2 linked regions of the Tribolium castaneum genome follow. Each later gene encodes a partner of the first gene's protein in a complex. Links are inferred from orthologs where the notes say so. Each region holds a gene or a part of one and is shown on either strand. Other genes may lie near its edges.

Evidence for each region. Proteins that work in one complex are often made in the same cells at the same time.
Region 2: Caf1-55 (region 1) and Myb share a complex: the UniProt entries of both Drosophila melanogaster proteins name them as parts of the DREAM complex. The link is inferred for Tribolium castaneum from reciprocal best matches to the Drosophila melanogaster genes Caf1-55 and Myb.

Annotation. Positions count from the first base shown.
Region 1 is NC_087399.1:661,835-665,838, forward strand, and holds Caf1-55 (histone-binding protein RBBP4), read right to left. Parts: upstream 2,822-4,004; 5' UTR 2,684-2,821; coding exon 2,662-2,683; intron 2,562-2,661; coding exon 1,443-2,561; intron 1,322-1,442; coding exon 1,179-1,321; 3' UTR 1,002-1,178; downstream 1-1,001. Other genes in the region: hgo (homogentisate 1,2-dioxygenase), read left to right, coding at 1-790; tudor and KH domain-containing protein homolog, read right to left, coding at 3,441-3,745, 3,799-4,004. UniProt on the Drosophila melanogaster protein: Core histone-binding subunit that may target chromatin assembly factors, chromatin remodeling factors and histone deacetylases to their histone substrates in a manner that is regulated by nucleosomal DNA.
Region 2 is NC_087396.1:14,748,569-14,752,636, forward strand, and holds the end of Myb (myb-related protein B), read left to right. Parts: intron 1-742; coding exon 743-937; intron 938-991; coding exon 992-1,276; intron 1,277-1,332; coding exon 1,333-1,491; intron 1,492-1,549; coding exon 1,550-1,663; intron 1,664-2,531; coding exon 2,532-2,630; intron 2,631-2,705; coding exon 2,706-2,825; 3' UTR 2,826-3,318; downstream 3,319-4,068. Other genes in the region: E3 ubiquitin-protein ligase Topors, read left to right, coding at 3,704-3,853. UniProt on the Drosophila melanogaster protein: DNA-binding protein that specifically recognizes the sequence 5'-YAAC[GT]G-3'. Component of the DREAM complex, a multiprotein complex that can both act as a transcription activator or repressor depending on the context.

The DNA of each region.
Region 1 (4,004 bases):
GCCGAACGAAATCTGCGTCATCCAGCAAGGGATGCGATTTTCGGTCGAAATTGAGGAACCGTCCCGTGGTTACATTTTGGAGGTGTTCGGGCAACACTTCACTCTCCCCGATTTGGGCCCAATTGGGGCGAATGGTTTGGCCAACCCCCGCGATTTTCTCACTCCTGTGGCATGTTACGAGGATCGTAATGTCGCAAAATACGAAGTCGTGGCCAAATACCAGGGCAAATTGTTTGTGTGTGAACAAGACCACAGCCCGTTTGACGTGGTGGCCTGGCACGGTAATTACGTGCCGTATAAGTACGACCTTGCCCGCTTTAATGTCATCAATTCGGTGTCTTTCGACCACTGTGACCCCTCGATTTTCACCGTCCTGACGTGTCAGTCTGAGAAAAAGGGCACGGCAATTGCCGATTTCGTGATTTTCCCGCCGCGTTGGTCCGTTCAGGAACATACGTTCAGGCCGCCTTACTACCACAGGAATTGCATGTCCGAGTTTATGGGGCTTATTTTCGGGGAGTATGAGGCGAAGAGAGGGAGTTTTAGGCCAGGAGGGGCCACTTTGCACAGTATTATGACTCCGCACGGGCCCGATTTTAATTGTTTTGAGGCGGCAAGTGTCGAGGTTTTGAAGCCGGCCAGAGTGGCTGATGGGACCCAGGCCTTCATGTTTGAGAGTTGTTTGGGGTTGGCTGTCACCAAGTGGGGGGCTAAGACGTGCCAGAAGCTGGACCCGGAGTACTACCAGTGCTGGCAAGGGCTCAAGAGCCACTTTACCGGCCCGAAATGAGATTTTTCAATAAATTACTACGTTTACAATTCGTGTTTTTGTAAATAAGCCTTTTTAATCCTGATTTATAAATCAGGAATTGAAGATAATTTTTTATGCAATTTCTATTCGACCTGTGTCATAAAATTTTTTTAATGAAACTTGGCGGAAATGTTGACTGTTAGCGGGTAATAAATGATTAAAATTCGAACGATTGTAAATAAAACAAGTGTTCTGGACAAAGTATTTATTTATTTGTAAAAAATGTTTAAAATATTGTGGATAACATAATGTTTCAGTTTGATAAACACAAATGGTCACACTTTCACTTAATTACTTCAGTAAAGGAAACGAGAACGTGGTATGCTTACAGGTAACACTAAAACTAAACATAAATAAAAAAACTAGACTAATTCGCTGGAGTTTCCATATCGGCCTGTTGCTCGGGCTCCTCATCGTTATAAATATTCTCGGCCATTTGCCACACTTGCATAATATTATCCTCAGACACGGAACAAATAACCCACGGTTCGTTGGGATTCCAACTAAAATCTAAGGAAAAAAAATTAAACGCTAATTACACTTTGATAAAAATTACGAAAACGTTAAGTAAATACGACTAAAGATTATTTACACAAAAAAAAAAAAATATCAAAAAAGATTATTAATTTACCTGAAATTTTGGCCGTGTGGCCCCCATGTATGAAGAGGAGCTCCGGAGGCCCATCCTCTGCATCCTCCGGACTTTGCTCCTCTCCGATTTTGCTCAAATCCCAGACATGCAGCCTGCGATCGGTCCCCGACGACGCCAGAATAGTCTCATTATGGGGGCTCCACTGCACTTGGAAAATCTCATCCTTGTGCGACTCAAAACTGTGCAATTTCAACTTAAGATTCCTCAAATCCCACAAAGCTACAGTCTTATCAGCGCTCCCAGTTGCAAGAATAAACTCCGAATAGGGGTTGAAACTGAGACAGTTAACCTCAGCAGTGTGTGCATCGACAGTGTGCGACGGTTTGCTCGTATTGTTACACCTAGTGTCCCAAATCATCAATTTCTGGTCGTCTGCGACCGAACCGAAGAGACTTTCGTGCAGAAGGTGCCAGGCGACGTCCTCCACCACGGCAGTGTGCCCCGTAAAAATGGTCTTCGCGTCTATAATTCGGTTCTCTTTCGGGGTCGCGTTAATGTCCCAGAGACAGATCGTGTGGTCATCGCTGGCCGAGAGCAAATAGCCGTTCAAGTTGGGGTTCCAGGACAGCCCGTAGCCCTCCTTCTGGTGCCCCCGGAGTCTCAGGTCCGGGTGGCACTCCCCGTTGGGGTCAGGCTTGCTGGGGTGCTTCGTATAGTCGAACACTAGCACGTCGCTTGAGGGGGTTTTTGTGGCTATAACGCACGGGTTCTGGGGCATGTAGCGAGCCCTGTTCACCTCTCCTTCGTGGTTGATTTTAATTTCAATCTCAATTTTCCCCGAAACTGAGCCAAAACCGCCAAACTCGCCCTTTTCGTTATCATAGTGCGAGGCATCGAACTGAGCGTCTTCGTTCGGGAGCTGGACGCTGGCGATCAGGAGGTGGTTTTGCTCGTCGGAGGTGTGAGTGCCGAGGATTAGGCGGTGGATGGAGTGGTCTTTGCCCTCGGGGCGCGTTACATCGGGCAGCCACTGGGCGGTTAAAGAGGGCCACTCGAGGGCATGTGTCATTACAAGGTCGTACAAAAAAGGGGTGTTTTTTTTCCAGATCTTGTACTCTTCGTTGATGACTCGCTCCTCGACCGCGTCGTCGAAGGTTTCTGTGTAAGATTTTTTGTGCAGTTGACCGGGTTTTAAGGTTACGTTCGCAAAGTTACAAAAAAAGCGTGATTTTGGCGAGGCAAACTAGAAAATACTTACCGGAGTCTCCCTTATCCCCCATTGTTACAACGAACACAAACGAATAATGTTAAAATTGATAAATTCAAGTAAAAATGAATGAGCCGTCCACTAAATATGACGCTAGCCCGCCAATTTGGAACAGTGGTGCCACAACGCCACAAGTCAGCAGATTCAAATTAAGCAAACCGTGGCCAAAATTTTGGCGGTGGTACGTTTTGATTTAGCTAACTCGATGCTTCATAGTCATGGTATTCCAATGTTTTATTAAAAAAATAGAAGGAAAAAATATATAATTGAGAGCCAACGTGGCAACAGGGAGTAAAAATTATGCGACTGAAAGCGATGAGCACGATTGTGTGTTGAACCGAAAACTTTAAAATTCACAATTGAATTAATTTTCAGTGATTTTTTTTAATATAACTTATAATCAGGTTGTAGAAAAAATAGAGTATGCAGCTTGAGTCTGGTTCACTAATTTTTCAGCTCAAGTTAACACTTTAGGATTTATTAAATAATGCACGTTTACTTACAGAGGTGGAGGTTAAAAAAAAACTCAGGTAACTTAAGAGGGTTTATTCAACGAAATATAAATGGAATCTCGGGCAAGATCACAATATTGAAGATAATCATTAAGGCACAAACTTTCAAAATTTAAAAAAGGGTTACTCAATATTAAAAAAATAATTAATTGCACCTAAAACGTAAAAATAAATAAAAATAAGAGCAATGTAAAAATGAATTAAGTAACTTGAGGAACAGGGCGATAAAAATTTATTTCGAAAAATTTGGGTAAAAAACTACGAACTCGAAGCTACACTAATATTACTAACACTCGTGGCGCGACTGCTCGGCCTCAAATCCACGTCTCTTTTAAAAACAGCGAACCCTTGATTAACCAATTCTTGTGCGATATCGACGTCCTTTTCACCGTTCACATCGAACAAATCAACACCGGGGACCGGAGAGCCCTCGCGCTTCGCCCTCGTCTTCTCCCTAACACAATATCCGTTAATTTTCGCCGACAGTTTCTTCCACTGCGCCACATGTGTCCACTCTTCGAATTTATCCACGGCTTCCACCGACCAACTCTCTCCCACGGGATCTAAAAACCCACTTACCCACCAAACGCCCAAAAAAATAAATAAATAATCGTACCAACTCGTGCTAGAAAACACTCAATTGCTTGAAAATGCAGTCGGAGGAAATCGGTCCTCAACTCGTACAATTCCTCAACGGGGACCAAATCCGTGTCCCCGTAATCAACATAGTAGAGTTCAGCTTGGGGCGGGTTATCGTCACTCAGACTGAGCACTTCAGCCCGGTACCATTTGCTGTCGTATTGGAACACAGCAGCGACAAGA
Region 2 (4,068 bases), on another chromosome or scaffold:
ATTAGATAATTATGTGCGAAATACCACTTTCGAAGATAAGACCTCTGTGCCTTCTAATAAACGATTTAAACCGCACATTTACGAAATTTTATTTTGGCTTCACCAGCGACAAACAAATCATCAGTTAGATATTTAACAACTGTTTTTTTATTTGTTAAATGAAAAAAATGTTTCATCATTCTTTTGTTAGTTATTATAATAAGGCAATAAATTGACTTGAATATGATGGTTTAAGTAGTGATATCTAGTACAAAAACTGTGTAAATTTATTCAGAGATATAATTAAATTAAGGCACAGTCGCATAAAAAAAGAGCAAGAGATGTGTAATCTTTTTTTTCTGAAAGAAGCAATAAAATGGGAACGGTTCCATCTTATGGAAATTTAATGACCACTCAAATCCAATTTTTTTTATACCAATCGATAGCTTTTATCGAAATAATGAGCAATTCGTACCTTTGCAAACTTTGTAACTTTTTTAATAAAGGCAGAATTAATGATTGGAAAATTAAAAACGGTAAATGCAAATTGCATTGGAGCAAAAAAAAAACAGAGGAGGGGAAGTTTGAGAGTCTATAAGTCATCAAAGTTGGTTGTGGCTGTGAGGTTTTTTGATTTCAAAATTAAATAATTGTTTATGATGACGGGTTGTAGAAAAAATAAAATATGCAGCTCGCTTTTAATGGCCATGTTTTTAATATTTGGGCATAATTCAGTTGATTACAGTCCATTGTTATTTTGTAGAACATCGACGAATTTGCGTCTATGTTGGGCTACAGCACGAAACCAACCAACAACAATGGCACCTCCCCGATAAAACAGTTGCCGTTCAGCCCTTCACAGTTCTTCAACAGTCCTGGCTTTTTAGAGATGCCTTTATCCTCAACGCCCGTCAAGAGATTCCCGACGACACCATTGAAAGATCGATCGTTAAAACCTGTACGAAACATTCAACTCGTCTTCTGACCACAATATTTAATTTTTTTCTTATAGGACTACAGTCCCTTGAGCACCCCCAACGGTCTTTCAGTCAAGGTGGAAATGCTGAGTTCCACAACCGACCCAACGGTGACACCCAGCAAGCGCTCGTTCCAAAGTATGGACACGCCCCGTACCCCAACGCCCTTCAAGAAGGCCTTAGCCGACTTGGAGAAGAAGTCCGGCCCTATAACGCACCTCCCAGACACGCCAACTCGTCTGGAAGACATCACGGAAATCATGAAGAAGGACCAAGATATCAGTTCGAATTACGAAACCGACACCAGTCTGATGATTACAGTAATTTAGTCACAGTTTAATGTGGTGTTTTTTATTGATGTGTGCTTGACTTTTAGAATGATAGTGGTTACATGACGGGGAAGAGAAAAAATGGGAACGGGCTCGCTGAAGGCAAGGAAAACGTTCTTCCGAATAAGCGAGTGCGGAAGGCTTTGGCGCCGTCTTGGGCCTCCACCTCGTCGCAGGATATGTCGTCGTTCGCTGTGGAAACTCCCGTAAGTTGCGATTTTTGCGAATCAAATTTTCGACATTGTACTAATTGTCTGGTTTTAGAGTAAATCGTTGGGCGACGATCCCTCAGCTCTGTTCTCCACGCCGTCTTCGATAATGAAAGACTCTTTGGGAGTGACCGGACTGATGGATTTTGCTCAGTCAGGATCATCCAAGGTACATGGATGGTTTCATTTCGGAGATAATTTATTCCCCTCCTAATCCTGCCCCCTTTTTGTTGAGTTAACAATCCTGTACCTGTTCCCATGGTCCCTTATTAACATGTGTCTGGGATTAATCGCTTCGAAATTCTATTTTTCTTCGATTTTTAGGTCTAGGTTGTAGTTCTTTTTTTTTGTACATTTACTTGTTTTTATTTTTTATTGGCCACATTTTGTTTGGAAAATTTCTTAGTCTAGTGACAAAACCAATCTTGCATGTACCGTGAGTCGTACCTACACTTCACCTTCTAGTCTATGCCAACTTAAAAGTTGCGCATAAAGTCACCAAAGTCCATGATTACCATTCCTCTTTTTGTTCTTCAGTCAGCTTTTGCCATCGCACAGAGAACGCAAGTATTGTCACACTATCAGGGGCCGGTCGCGCTGACACAACCGACGGGGTTAAACCTCGGTCACGTGGTTATGTCGGCTGAGACTCGGAAATGTTCTTTAACAAGGCAACTGATTTATTATTATGACATTTGTGTCTTTAAATATTTATTTTGATTGTTAATTGTGTTGTTATTACGGTTTGAAGAAAATGCGAAGCATAAATGCAACAATGAACAAAGTTTAGCGTTACCAGAATAGTCACGCCCGGTTGTTTTTAATTATTACTAAGATATTGTGTAGATAGAGCACTTGAGTACTTAAGTAAGTAGTGTTGTTGCACAGAGAATCCACGCATTTTCTCCTAGTTTTTAAGAAATTAAGTTGCTCCTCTTTCGCGGGGGCTCTTTGGGGGTGTTAATGCTAGGCTTGGGGAATCAGCATGTGGTCGTTTGTGTGGTGGTATTGTAGCTTTTTTATCCTTGTCCCGGCAGCGCCTGCCATCTGCCAGTGCCCCCTCCCGCGCCCCTGGTCCACGAAGCACCGCCGCCAAGCGGATCACTTTTGAGGATACTAGGCCCAAAGCTCCAAAGGTGAGCACTCGCCCATTTCCCTCCCTCCACGTCCGCAAAGCGCCGCCTGATAGTAAGGTTCCGTTTTTCTTCCAGATCGAGAAGATGTGGGCCATGGTTGCGTGCGGCAAGACGCAGGACCAGATCGACCTTACTAAACGAGCACACAATTTTTTAAGAACTACCAGCTTGAAACCTCGTTCTTTAAATTTTTAAGAAAATTTTGTACATATGCGATTCGGTTTACACTTTGTAAATAGAATCTTTTTTACAAATAATTTAGTGCAAACGATTGTATTGTAGATTTGTCGGCTAAATTCAATAAAGCATCACCGGAGTGAGGTTTCGTTTACGGCTTCACTTTACTTCTTTTTAACTACGTGTAATGTATATAGACTTTTCACTGAGTAAATGAAACCTTACTGAACAAAAACCATGTATAGAACTAGTCTACCATTTTTCTTGTATAATTGTTTTCGTAATTATATCTTTTAATATATACAGTTATTAGAAAGGACGCCCAAAGGTTGAAGTTGTAATTTTATTGCCATGGTAGGTCTAGGTCTCTTTCTTGTTGTCCTTTGGGTTGTTTCGCTTATAAAGCATGCTTCAGTTTAATTTTTGCATCTATTTAAAGAATGTGTTTCTGAATTTATATTTATTTTATAATTTTATGTCACTAAATAAAATTGGTACTTTTGTAAGAATACACCGCATCGTTGTTTTTTTCCGCCCCGAACTAAACTTTTCGGAAGTGCCCCGTATTACATAACAGGAAAATCACCAGGTGGCAGCTGGTGTAGTTTTCCGATTGCGTTGGCACCCCTGCTTCAGATGTTTTATGTCAACTCCATGATCGGTACACAAGACGTTCCTAGAAGTGATTTTTGTGGTATTTTCTTAAATTAGAGCAACTTGGAGGCTAAAAAAGCATTAAAATTAGCGTTTTTGGTGCAGTATTGTTGTTGCGTGAGTGGATAGTGTGTCTAATCGTAGGAAAATCGCGAAACTCGCAAGGTCAGAACTAGTGGATAAATCAACATGACTTCATTCATCTCCGGAGTGCATTTGCAGTGAAATCGAGTTTTAGTGATATGGCAGACAGTAAACTGGCAAGCCCCCGTGCTGACACCGCTAGCCCGCCCCCACACTGTGCTATCTGCTTGGGGACGTGCAAAAACAAATGTCGGGCCAATTCCTGCATGCACGAATTTTGCTACAGTTGTTTGTTGGAATGGTCTAGAGTGAGTAAATTTGTAAGATTGCGACATTATTTTCATCGATTGTTCATGTATTTTCACTTGCTGATGGCCCGGTGCACTGAAATAAGAAGTACTACAGCTAGATTATAATTTATTTAGGTACAAAAAATTTCCAGCTCGCAAGAACGAAAAACCTTTAATAGTTTTTGAAAAGTCATCATAATCAGGATCATAGTCTTAAACCGCAATGATGACCT